2 linked regions of the Arabidopsis thaliana genome follow. The protein of the gene in region 1 interacts with the protein of each later gene in a biochemical or structural test. Each region holds a gene or a part of one and is shown in the gene's direction. Other genes may lie near its edges.

The links. The genes of interacting proteins can lie anywhere in the genome.
Region 2: the proteins of AT3G03770 (region 1) and NIK3 form a complex in vitro, tested with the Arabidopsis thaliana proteins (one large-scale study listed by BioGRID).

The regions. Positions count from the first base shown.
Region 1 is NC_003074.8:944,566-951,160, reverse strand, and holds AT3G03770 (Leucine-rich repeat protein kinase family protein), read left to right. Parts: upstream 1-1,922; 5' UTR 1,923-2,282; exon of another isoform or gene 2,283-2,365; 5' UTR 2,366-2,457; intron 2,458-2,658; 5' UTR 2,659-2,724; coding exon 2,725-4,060; intron 4,061-4,154; coding exon 4,155-4,288; intron 4,289-4,381; coding exon 4,382-4,622; intron 4,623-4,718; coding exon 4,719-4,924; intron 4,925-4,997; coding exon 4,998-5,041; intron 5,042-5,209; coding exon 5,210-5,321; intron 5,322-5,400; coding exon 5,401-5,713; intron 5,714-5,835; coding exon 5,836-5,858; 3' UTR 5,859-6,084; downstream 6,085-6,595. Other genes in the region: LBD20 (LOB domain-containing protein 20), read right to left, coding at 6,488-6,595.
Region 2 is NC_003070.9:22,382,860-22,389,766, reverse strand, and holds NIK3 (NSP-interacting kinase 3), read left to right. Parts: upstream 1-2,000; 5' UTR 2,001-2,835; coding exon 2,836-2,941; intron 2,942-3,065; exon of another isoform or gene 3,066-3,322; coding exon 3,323-3,452; intron 3,453-3,537; coding exon 3,538-3,609; intron 3,610-3,690; coding exon 3,691-3,834; intron 3,835-3,942; coding exon 3,943-4,014; intron 4,015-4,113; coding exon 4,114-4,173; intron 4,174-4,257; coding exon 4,258-4,349; intron 4,350-4,440; coding exon 4,441-4,587; intron 4,588-4,673; coding exon 4,674-5,015; intron 5,016-5,102; coding exon 5,103-5,494; intron 5,495-5,824; coding exon 5,825-6,166; 3' UTR 6,167-6,374; downstream 6,375-6,907. Other genes in the region: ACLA-2 (ATP-citrate lyase A-2), read left to right, coding at 53-134, 218-313, 402-503, 599-715, 804-920, 1,005-1,076.

The DNA.
Region 1 (6,595 bases):
GAACAAACCATCTAACCTAATTTATTACACCGCAAGACGAAAATGACACACACACACACACTCCTCTAGGCTCTAACGTACGTCTTAATTAAGTATTTGCTTTCGCTTTCTACAAATCACTTTAATGTAGTGTATATATATTTATGTGATAAAAACAGAATAATGTAACATATGAATGCATGATAGTAATCAAGAAAAAAACATAAAATAGTCGTATAAATGTATTTCTATGAAATAATCTCAAATTACTTCACTTAGCCAATAAATTTTCATAATATATTAATTTTATAGTTGCCAGTCGATCAATTTTCACTACCAGTTAAAATAGTCGTATAAATGTATTTCTAGCCGTTATTAATTTTCTTTTCGTCTACCAAATTAAAGATCAATCTTTTTTTGTTAAGGAAAAAGAAATCGAAATTGGAAATTACCACGTTCTATTTCGTATTGTTTAAAGTTGGCTAGTCGATTATAAGCTGCACCAACAATTTTTAGTTTTATTTAAACTATGATTGTATACGACGACATTGACTATTGAGACATGCAACCAACAGATACAAAACAAAACTAACCAAAAAATGAAACACGCAAAATGAAGGAAAAAAATAAGATAAATTAAAATTAAATATTTATTCCTAAACGATGCACAGAAAAATCTAACAGAAGAAGATGCTTATATAAAACCAGGTGGACTAAAATTTCACAGAATTTTGTTTTCTTATGTTTGTAAGCATTTACTTTACTTGTTTTCTTATACCTGCAACTATGAATCATATTAAAAAAAACTACAAGATTAATAAAAAGATGAATCACTCATGGCACGTGAGAGTAGTCAAGAGATTAAGACATCATGCCTTAGTTTCAATTTAATATGATTAAATACACGAGTTTAGTTTAAATTGTTTGTTAATTTGATTTCCAATTCCTTGCATGTTATTCTTTATTGATCATATTATATGTGAGCTAATTTGTTGTATTAAGATTGTTTTCTTGAACTTTGAAAAGGTCGGAGAAGATTGGGACCTACATGTGTCACTTTAAAAGTCTGGTGTGACCTTTCTGATGGAGATGCCTTCGTGCGAAAGCTTACATTACAGTATGTGTCACAACTTCGCTTTCTTTTTATTTTCACCTTAAATATATATATTACCTCTTTCAGATTTAAGTTTTTGGATGGATCTTTTTTTTTTCTTTCAGTTTGGTTTTAAGCCTAGTTTTTGATAAAATTCCGGTGTAGTTGTTGTGGTTTTTATGTTTAGTTTGTTTTCAGCTTTCTTACATGATCAAAATTCAAAACAAAATTAGAGTTACACTAATTTACTTGGTTTTGTTTACTCATTCTTGATTAATCTTGTTTAACTTAGCATACCCAATTAATTGATAGACAGACTTTTCTCAATCAAATTAATATTCATATAAGAAACTTTAAAAAAATATCAAAATTAAATCTATACTATATAAAGACTTGTTTGCCTCAGACTCGTATTTGTAGATCATCCCCCTAAAGGCCTAAACCCTAAAAGAATATTTCTCTTATCATTACCTTTTTATCTTTCTTTTTTTTTTTGTCTTTTTACTTTTTCTTGGCCACAGCTTTGGCTGGAGTGGATTTCTCTTTGGTCCCTATTTTTTTGAAAGTGATAATATAATATGAACATATTTAATGCTGATAAAATAATTTACTTTGTGTACTGTATAAATAGTGAGACAACCAAAAATAAAAAGATCAGAAAAAAACGTCGGCCAGACCCTGTTGGATTCGCTTTTTTTTTTTTCTTTTTTAATTTGTTAAAAATGCATGTGAACACTTACAAGATTATTTTTTGGACAAAAAAATTCTATTTCTATTTTGTTTGTTTGTTTTAAAATTATTTTTGTAAAAAGAATTTATCGTTGTCTTCATCTCGTGATGGAGACTTAGAGAGGAGGACCAAACTCTCTGTCGTTAGCCACTGACAATTTACTAAATCGTATGGTTGCTAAAATGTTTTTGCATTGATTTTACAGAATTTGTTTTTGTTTATTGTCTATTTAAAAAATAAAAAAAGTTTGTTGGGTTAATATTGTTCCCAGAGTATCCTCTGTTTTATTCTTATAAGATATAATAATCACTCGTGAAGGAATCTTGAATGTTTTTAAAGCTCCTTGAGGAACTTTCATCTCTTACAGAGGATTTTCTTGGGAACTTTTCTCACTTTCTTCTTTAAATCAAGTTGCTACTTTTTTTGTTTCTTTAGATAAAATCGATATTCCATTCACAGTTACTTCATAAGTTTGCAGAGGTATTTCTTCATCTCAAAGGAAACGATTTGTCTTTTCATTTTCTCATTCTTCTTACTCTGATGAAACCAAATTTTGTTTCCAGGAAAAATAAAATTTAATCTCTTGTGCTCAAAAGTTTCCTGCATCTTTTCTTCTTGCAAGGTGTCTTAAAGAGGAGATTCTGTAACACATGTGGTGAGTTCTTCCTGTTTTTCTGGAATTCACATGCAAAAATCATATTTTTTTAGTTTGAAGATTGATTTCTAAGATTCTCTTCTGTTTAATGCATTAACGAGAAAGTGGTTAAAATATCAAGATCTTGAGAGTGGACCCTGTTTTGTAAGTACATTATATATAAATGTGATTCTTGAATGAAATGTGTCTCTCTCTTTGCAGGTTTTGATGATGATGCTTATATGATTTTATTTAGTAGTTGTGTGTGTTTTATGGTCTTGTGTGGCTATGGAGAAACTCTATTGTGGCATGCCGTTACTGCTTCTGGTTCTGCTTTTAGCTTCCATTGATGGCTCTACACAGCTACAATCATCTCAATCTCAAACCCTCTTGAGGCTGCAACAGCTTCTCTACTATCCCAAAGTGTTAAACAGCTGGAACAACTATACAGATTTCTGCAATTCTGAGCCAAGCCCTTCGCTAACCGTTGTGTGTTATGAAGATAGTGTAACGCAGCTTCACATTATAGGAGACAATGGAACTCATATGTTACCAAAGAGTTTCTCAATAAACTCGTTTGTTACTACTCTTGTTAAGCTCCCTGATGTTAAAGTTCTCACGTTTGTGTCCCTTGGGTTATGGGGTTGGTTACCTCAGAAAATCAACCGTTTATCCTCTTTGGAGATTCTCAATGTGAGTTCCAATTTCCTCTTTGGACCAATCCCTCATGAACTCTCGTCGCTTGCTACTCTTCAGACGCTTATACTCGACGAGAATATGTTTTCTGGTGAGTTACCGGATTGGATTGATTCTTTGCCGAGTTTAGCTGTGTTGAGCTTGAGAAAGAACGTGCTTAATGGGTCATTGCCTTCTTCTTTGAGTAGCTTGTCAGGTCTTAGAGTTCTTGCTTTAGCTAATAACCGGTTTAATGGAGCTTTGCCTGATTTAAGCCATTTGACAAACCTTCAAGTGCTTGATCTTGAAGGAAACTCTTTTGGACCGTTGTTTCCTCGGTTAAGTAACAAGCTGGTTACTCTTATACTCAGCAAGAACAAGTTTAGATCTGCAGTTTCAGCTGAAGAAGTAAGTTCTCTGTATCAGCTTCAACATTTGGATCTTTCCTACAATACATTCGTTGGTCCATTTCCTACTTCCTTGATGTCTCTTCCCGCGATAACTTACTTGAACATTTCACACAACAAACTCACCGGGCGGCTTTCAGCAAATCTTTCTTGCAACTCACAGCTGATGTTTGTAGATATGTCATCAAATCTTCTTACCGGAAGTTTGCCTACTTGCCTTAAACCGAGTTCCGGCACTAGCAGAGATGTTGTCTATGCAAGCAACTGTTTGGCTACTACGAATGAAGATCAACGTCCAGTTTCTTTTTGTAGTAATGAAGCTCTTGCTGTTGGAATCCTACCACAGAGGAGGAACAAAGTTTCCAAAGTGGGTATTGCTTTAGGTGTAACCGCAAGCATTCTCGGGGTACTTCTCCTCGCCGGTGCCTTATTTGTGGTTCTTAGGAGATTAAATGCTAAGAAAACAGTGACGAAATCTTCCCCAAGATTGATTAGAGAGAATGCTTCAATGGGGTACACATCGAAACTACTATCAGATGCAAGTAAGAGGATAAAATATCTCTCACATATTGTCACATAGATTACATAGAACTTGTCTTCATTGATAACTTGTGCTGTAACTGCAATACTTTGAAGGGTATATCTCTCAAACAATGAAGCTAGGAGGGCTCGGTCTTCCAGCTTACAGGACATTCTCACTGGAGGAGCTCGAGTATGCAACAAATAACTTTGAATCCTCTGCTTTCATGGGTGAAGGTTCTCAAGGACAGGTACAGCAGTGAAGCTTCAATCTTTCTTTAGCTAGTTTCCATTTTTTGAACAGTTGAATCAAACAAGATTTTTGTTTTCATTGTTCTTTTCAGATTTATAGAGGGAGATTGAAAGATGGATCCTTTGTGGCAATTAGGTGTCTGAAAATGAAGAAAAGTTGCAGCACACAAAACTTGATGCATCACATTGAGCTCATCGCTAAACTGCGGCACCGTCACTTGGTTAGTGTGCTCGGGCACTGCTTCGAGTGCTACTTGGATGATTCAACAGTCAGCAGAATGTTCTTTGTCTTTGAGTATGTCCCAAATGGAGAACTCAGGACCTGGATTTCTGGTACCACACTGAAACATCATGTGTTTTAAGAATGAAGATGATCATTATATATTTTTTAATAACTAAATCGGATTGTTCTTGTCTCTGCTGTGCTAGATGGGCACATGGGAAGATTGCTTACTTGGGAACAACGCATAAGCGTAGCGATAGGTGTAGCAAAAGGGATCCAGTTCTTGCATACCGGTATTGTGCCTGGTGTTTATGATAACAACCTTAAAATGACAGACATTTTGCTTGACAATAACCTTGCGGCGAAACTCAGTAGCTATAATCTTCCATTGCTTGTGGAAGGTCTTGGAAAGGTAAATGACGATGTCAAAAGTTCGAATGTTTTTGTTTCTTGAATTTTGAATCTCTTTTGCTTTCCTTTCTAAGGTGGGGCAAGTAGGATCTCGGAGCGGACCTAAAGGCACTCCAAGGTGTGTAATAATCTTCTTTACTCTGTTTCTCATCAGCTTGTAAACCCGGTTATATGGTTTAATCCTCTGTTTCTCAAAAGAATCAAAAACGGTTTATATGGTTTAATCCTCTGTTTCTCATCAGCTTGTAAACCGGTTTATATGGTTTAATCCTCTGTTTCTTAACAGCATCAAAGACGAAGATAAAATCGATATCTATGATTTTGGAGTGATATTGCTTGAACTTATAGTGGGAAGACCATTGAGAGCAAAGAGTCAAGTCGATGTTCTAAAAGAGCAGGTAACACCATTCGATATATATGTAGCTTGATGTGGAATCGCTATCATCTACTTTAAAAACTCTTTTTTATTTGTTGTAGTTACAAGCAAGCATTTCAGCGGATGATGGAGCACGTAGGAGCATGGTGGATCCAACGGTCCATAGAGCTTGTTCAGACCAATCACTGAAGACAATGATGGAGATATGTGTAAGGTGTCTCCTTAAAGACCCTTTAGAACGTCCTTCCATTGAAGATGTCCTGTGGAATCTTCAGTTTGCTTCTCAAGTTCAAGAAGGTTGGCTACAAAACAGCAATCCCTCGAGCAATCTCGGCTCGCCTTCTCCTGCTGCTTCCTCTCTTCCTCCTCCCTCTCGTTTACACGTAACAACACTCGAATCTCCCCGAGATTCAGGTATTTTTGAACTCGATCTTTTATGATCAATTGATTCAGTTCAGAATAGAATTTGATTGTTAAAGATTTGAGATTGAATAAGTTTATTGATCTGAGACTTATTTGTGTGGTTGTAATTGCAGGATGTGAAGAACATGAGAGGTAGAGAGACGAGGGTTTTTGTTTGGTCTTGTTCACTGATCACTACTCTTTGGAAAGAACATAACCTTTTTGTTTGTAATTTGATGTTTGTTTTTGTTTTTTTGTCTTTAGTTGTGTTGAGCTTAAACGATCATAACAGTTAATAATATAGTTAATTTTTCTTATAAACTTTACTTAAAAGAACAGTGTCGGTTAATTTTTATTCTTCAAAAGGAATACAAGTCCAACAATGGTGAGATAATTTTGGAAAATTCAATCGTTTTTTCTTCCTGTTTTGTTCAGCGAAAATAAATTAAAATTGTATATAGAAATTGAGATGGAACCGATTTCTAGGGTTTAGAAAAGATTTGCTTGATTGATTCTTCTTGTCCAAGAAATCAAAATAGAGGATAATGGCTGGTGTTGGATCATCAAATCCTTTACTTATTTATTAATTTGGATTCGTATGTAAATTCAGTTAATTCCAACTAGTATGATAATTAACCAATAACTACATGCATATATCTCATTCAAATATTTCACGACAACTCTACATGTATAGTATACGTCTGCTGGATATACTTATTCTCTTTCTCAACATTATTATAAAAACGGAGATATATTTAAATTAAAGACAAACCCTAGGTAATACATTCATCTCCGGTGAAAATCCTCCGCCGGAAATATAACCTTCGAAGCCACCGCCGTCGATCCAACAGCCACCGAAAAATCAGCACCGCTCTCTTCCTCATCCTCATGCTG
Region 2 (6,907 bases), on another chromosome or scaffold:
TCATGATAAGTCAAGAGTTTGGGCGGTATGATTAACCTCTTACGTTTTGCAGGTGGGGCGACATTGAATTTCCCATGCCATTTGGAAGAGTGATGAGTTCAACAGAGAGCTTCATCCACGGTCTAGATGAGAAGGTATCATACCAATAAGCGTAGAGTAATTGACGCTTCTGGAAACACCAGTTTCTCTATGACTTATGACCCTTTTGTATATGCAGACAAGTGCCTCTTTGAAGTTCACTGTTCTGAATCCCAAGGGAAGAATTTGGACTATGGTAGCTGGAGGAGGTGCAAGTGTCATCTATGCTGATACCGTATGTTTTTATATGAACACCGAGAATCTCCTGCATTTTTCTGCTTAGAAGCCTTAGCCTCTAAAGTGTTTACTGAAATGTTATCCAGGTTGGAGATCTCGGGTATGCATCTGAGCTTGGCAATTATGCTGAATACAGTGGAGCACCCAAAGAAGACGAGGTTTTGCAGTATGCCAGAGTTGTCATTGATGTAAGATGCTGCTTTAACTTCTGCCAATAAAGCATCTGAAAATAAAGTCACTCCTGACTTGGTCGTGGTGCTGAATGATAATACTGCTTCTTCAGTGTGCTACAGCGAATCCGGATGGAAAAAGCAGGGCTCTGGTAATTGGAGGTGGAATTGCTAACTTCACCGATGTTGCTGCTACCTTCAATGGCATAATCCGAGCTCTCAAGGAAAAAGTAAGCAAGAAGAGAGTAGAATCATCCACAAACACTTCATTGCCCCTTGACTACAAGTATAAATGAACCATGCTTTAACCGTTTACAGGAAGCAAAGCTGAAAGCAGCAAGGATGCATATATTTGTGAGGAGAGGAGGACCAAACTACCAAAAGGGACTTGCTAAAATGAGATCACTTGGAGACGAAATCGGTGTCCCCATCGAGGTATGTAGACACACAATGAATAAACTCAAGACATTCCCGCTTAATCAGTTTCTAACTGTTTTTACATGTCTGTTTGATTTCAAGGTGTATGGTCCTGAAGCAACAATGACAGGTATATGCAAGGAGGCAATCCAGTACATCACAGCGGCTGCATAAGCCTTTACAATCTTATCACTTACTTTCAAAATACTCTTTAGCGTCTCTTGAGTTTGAGACGTGTTTGGATTATGTTTCACTTCTAATGTATCTTACTATTCATAAATAAAGAACAAGTATCTTCTTTTTTCTTACTTGGTATTTTCTCTTTTGATTCTCATCTTCTTCTTGACTTAGATCAGAAGAAAACGTATTTAATCAACTTTTATCTAGCAACTCCAAAAATTCTACTAGGAAATAACGATATGGAATCAGAAGCATTTAAGCCTTTTACACACGATGCAAGCAATTTGCTGAAGTGGATATCGACAGTCATAGACATGTCCATTTTTAGACTTGGCTATTCAAAAATTTGGACCATTTTTCTATTAATCAGGGCCCGTTTTTAGTGATAGCTCTGGATATTTTCATTGAGCTGGGCCTTTTCTGGTCATGGAAAGAGATTGCAATATCTATTTAGCCATCCCAAGTGGGCAAAACATAATCTACGCTTACAAAATTTGTGTAAACGAATTCGTCTACGCTTACATTTTTGTGTAGTAAAGAGAAGTATTATGTTATCCTTTAATCAAAAACTCAAAAAGGGGTAAAATAATTGAAGCCTGAAAAAGCCAACAAGATAGGAGACAGGCCATGAACGTGATCTGCCCATCAAAAAAAACTTTTTTTTTTTCTCGGTAACTTTTTCTAAAAAGCAAAATATTAAAATAAGAGAGAGATGTCCTTGTTCTTATGTTTTTTCTTTTATCATCTATGTGACCCATCTCTTCAATCTAATCACATTTTTGTATATTAAAGTGTTTTCTTGAAACATTTGTCCGAAAGCAGAAAATAAAAAGGATTCAAACTGAAATCATGAAAACATAAACAAAAAAAATGTACTATTCTTTTTACCTCACAGTAATTTTGTTTTATATAAAAAGCTTATAAATTAACAAAACTTATAAAAAAGTGAGAAAAACAGAGAGTCTCTTCTTTTCTTGTTATTCTGTCAGTATCTTTCTGTGTGTGTTTGTGGATTTTTTGGCATTTTCATTTTGGATTTTGCTTGTTTGGTCCCTTTCTTTTCATGATTATTATTTTTAAATTCCTTTTTTATATTGGTGGTGTGAATGATAAGAGTAGGCAGATGAGAGATTAGATGATTTGGTAATAGTGGTGTGGAATTAGAAGCAAACCTTTTTTGAAAAAATTAAGAATGTTATAGAGATTAGTTATTCAATAACAACTACTACCAAAGTCATAAAAATGATATAAAATATAAACCAAGAAGCACTATTAGTATCACTCATCACTCAATAGCTTTTTTTTTTTCAGATCTCTAGGAAAATTTCTCAGACTTTCAGAGCATTTTGGTGCTTTTGTTTTGCTTGGTTTCTCGGGAAAATTCTCTTCACACTTTTAGAGTTTTCTCTCTCTTCTCTATCTCTTGTCACAGCTCGTTTAGCATTCATTCTCTTAATCGTTTCTTCATTCAAAAATTCTCTCTTTCTAAGCTGAGTAACTTGCAAGTCGTCATTTTTCAATTGGGGTCTTCTCCTTTTTACTTCCTTTGAATTGAAATCACAGAGAAAGAGAGGTTCCATTGCTGGAAAATGGATTGCTCAAATTAGTTTCTGTGTCTAAATAAAGACAGAGAAGAAGAAAAGTAGACAAAAGCTAAGTTTTTTTTTCAGATATGGGAGAGAGAAAAATGAGTTGGTGGGTTCTTTGAAACTTGTTTTTGTTCAGACCAAAGTTGATTGCTTTAAGAAGGGATATGGAAGGTGTGAGATTTGTGGTGTGGAGATTAGGATTTCTGGTTTTTGTATGGTTCTTTGATATCTCTTCTGCTACACTTTCTCCTACTGGTGTAAACTATGAAGGTTAGTCTTTTTCTTCTTGGAGAAATCTCAATTTTTTTCTCTATGAATTTATCATCTTTGGTTTTGTCTATTTTGTTTAGTTGTTCCGAAAATTCTGGTGAATGTTTGTGTGGATTAGGTTCTTTTTTGTTTCTTTATTGGATAATAAATATCACAGCTTTAAATGCTCACCAGACTCATATAACCTTAGCCAATAGCAGCTCAAGTTTACTTCATTCTCTGTGAAACTATACTGCATATAAGCTTACTGGGTTTTTCTTGGATAAGATTTCAATTTCGAAAAATGCAGCTTTAGCAATAAGATAATTCATAGGAGTTTTGAGGCTAGATTTGTTCTTTCAATCTGAAGTTTCTTTCTTTTTGTTTGTCTGAAATGAGCAGTGACAGCTTTGGTTGCTGTGAAGAATGAATTGAATGATCCGTACAAAGTTCTTGAGAATTGGGATGTGAATTCAGTTGATCCTTGTAGCTGGAGAATGGTTTCTTGCACTGATGGCTATGTCTCTTCACTGTGAGTCTTCTCTTCTCTTCTCGTATATTAGATTAAAAAAACCAGATAGATCTTTAAGACTTGTCTTGTTTTCTTAATGAAACAGGGATCTTCCTAGCCAAAGCTTGTCTGGTACATTGTCTCCTAGAATCGGAAACCTCACCTATTTACAATCAGTGTAAGATTTTTCTAGTCTTTGCTATATGTGATTCTTGTTCTCTGTTTTGCTTCTTGTTGAGCTTAATGTTTTGTTGTTTAGGGTGTTGCAAAACAATGCAATCACTGGTCCAATTCCGGAAACGATTGGGAGGTTGGAGAAGCTTCAGTCACTTGATCTTTCGAACAATTCATTCACCGGGGAGATACCGGCCTCACTTGGAGAACTCAAGAACTTGAATTACTTGTGAGTGCTCCTTTACGGTTTCACAATGATTCTTTTGTTGCATGTTTATAAAATTCCAATTCAATTCTGAGTGGTCTGTTGTTCTGTTCTTGTCATTTTCATTTTCAGGCGGTTAAACAATAACAGTCTTATAGGAACTTGCCCTGAGTCTCTATCCAAGATTGAGGGACTCACTCTAGTGTAAGTCTCTAAATCCTGCTTTTTCTATTGTTCACAGTGGAAAAACATACATTGGGAGAATATTTATTTACTTACTTTTTACTGATTCTTAATGTGCAGCGACATTTCGTATAACAATCTTAGTGGTTCGCTGCCAAAAGTTTCTGCCAGAACTTTCAAGTAAGCTTTACTAAACTTATACAAGAACTTATCTTTCCGTTGAAGCTGAAACTAAGATTCAGCGTTGGGCTTCTTAAACTGAAGGGTAATTGGTAATGCGTTAATCTGTGGCCCAAAAGCTGTTTCAAACTGTTCTGCTGTTCCCGAGCCTCTCACGCTTCCACAAGATGGTCCAGGTATTAGGCATCTGCTTCTCATAGCTCCCTATTCTTCTTCTGCGTCAATGTATCTCATCACTTCCATCTTTGGTTCTTCTTTCTGTTTTAGATGAATCAGGAACTCGTACCAATGGCCATCACGTTGCTCTTGCATTTGCCGCAAGCTTCAGTGCAGCATTTTTTGTTTTCTTTACAAGCGGAATGTTTCTTTGGTGGAGATATCGCCGTAACAAGCAAATATTTTTTGACGTTAATGGTTAGTATCTTGAAATACTATCGGCTTCACATCATTTTGTGCAGAGCAAAACTGACACTTGCATCTTGATGATTAATATTTTGCAGAACAATATGATCCAGAAGTGAGTTTAGGGCACTTGAAGAGGTATACATTCAAAGAGCTTAGATCTGCCACCAATCATTTCAACTCGAAGAACATTCTCGGAAGAGGCGGATACGGGATTGTGTACAAAGGACACTTAAACGATGGAACTTTGGTGGCTGTCAAACGTCTCAAGGACTGTAACATTGCGGGTGGAGAAGTCCAGTTTCAGACAGAAGTAGAGACTATAAGTTTGGCTCTTCATCGCAATCTCCTCCGGCTCCGCGGTTTCTGTAGTAGCAACCAGGAGAGAATTTTAGTCTACCCTTACATGCCAAATGGGAGTGTCGCATCACGCTTAAAAGGTAATGCAGTTTCCAAAAAAACTGCTAATTTCTTCATGCTCTTTTGCAAGTTTTTAATAGTTCCATCTTGCTACATTTTTTGTTTAGATAATATCCGTGGAGAGCCAGCATTAGACTGGTCGAGAAGGAAGAAGATAGCGGTTGGGACAGCGAGAGGACTAGTTTACCTACACGAGCAATGTGACCCGAAGATTATACACCGCGATGTGAAAGCAGCTAACATTCTGTTAGATGAGGACTTCGAAGCAGTTGTTGGTGATTTTGGGTTAGCTAAGCTTCTAGACCATAGAGACTCTCATGTCACAACTGCAGTCCGTGGAACTGTTGGCCACATTGCACCTGAGTACTTATCCACGGGTCAGTCCTCAGAGAAGACTGATGTCTTTGGCTTTGGCATACTTCTCCTTGAGCTCATTACTGGTCAGAAAGCTCTTGATTTTGGCAGATCCGCACACCAGAAAGGTGTAATGCTTGACTGGGTAAGTCTCTTTTCTCTGTTTCTTGTTTCACTTTCTAGAATCTTGAAGCTATTGTTCATAATTGTGGTTTGGTTCGGTTCAGTCTTGTTTGATAGAAAACTTAAACCAAAACAAAATATAAATTAGCCGTGATTTTGGCTAAATTTTGGTTCTGTTTTTGTGCTTGATAAAAGACTCAGTTTGGTTTTCTGTTATCTTTGATTTGAATTCGGTATAGTTTGAAGACTAAACTGTTATTTTGGATTCGGTTTGGTTCTGTTTTTGTGCTTGATCTGGAATTGGTTTGGTTTGGTTTATTGGTCTGAGAAATGAGATTGTTAAAAATGGCAGGTGAAGAAGCTGCACCAAGAAGGGAAACTAAAGCAGTTAATAGACAAAGATCTAAATGACAAGTTCGATAGAGTAGAACTCGAAGAAATCGTTCAAGTTGCGCTACTCTGCACTCAATTCAATCCATCTCATCGACCGAAAATGTCAGAAGTTATGAAGATGCTTGAAGGTGACGGTTTGGCTGAGAGATGGGAAGCGACGCAGAACGGTACTGGTGAGCATCAGCCACCGCCATTGCCACCGGGGATGGTGAGTTCTTCGCCGCGTGTGAGGTATTACTCGGATTATATTCAGGAATCGTCTCTTGTAGTAGAAGCCATTGAGCTCTCGGGTCCTCGATGATTATGACTCACTGTTTTTAAAAAATTTCTTTTCTTGGGTTTGTTTTTTATTTGTCGTTTTATAATGTTGATATAGATGTGAAGTTGAGTGTGTAATTTTTATGTAAAGAAAAAATATGAAATGCAAAAGAAAATGTTGATTAGCCTGCCACATTACTCAATATTTGAATTTTCAAAGTGAGGTAAGAATTTTGGATGGCATATAAATCAAACCGAACTGAAAGTTTTTGAATCGAAATGAACCGAATTGTAAGCTAAACGTAATTTCAATACCGAATAAACTGAATTGAATACATCAAGTTTCAGGACTACAAAATAATTTTGTAACATGTATATAAAAAAAACATTTGCATGTATAACTTTTTGTAATTCTTAAATAAAATTAAATTTGTTTAAACTATGTTATCTCCAATGCAAAACCGAAACAAATCTAAGATTTTCAAACTGACCTAAACCAAAACCAAAACAAAATCGAAAAGGTTCAAACTAATTACTAACCGAAAGAAAATTCTGATATAGTTTTTCTAAAACCGAAAAACCTAAAACCTTGAACCGAGTAAACCGGAAAACAAAATTCCTAAACATATATTCATCACTTAACCAAATTAAAGATTCCAAACCGAAATAATTCGGTATAAAGAGAATCGAACTCTATTCGGTCAACGTGTAATGAAGCATTAAACTTCGCCTCAGACACACTATACAAAACCACCGAACATAGGAATTAGGATGGTCTTTAAAA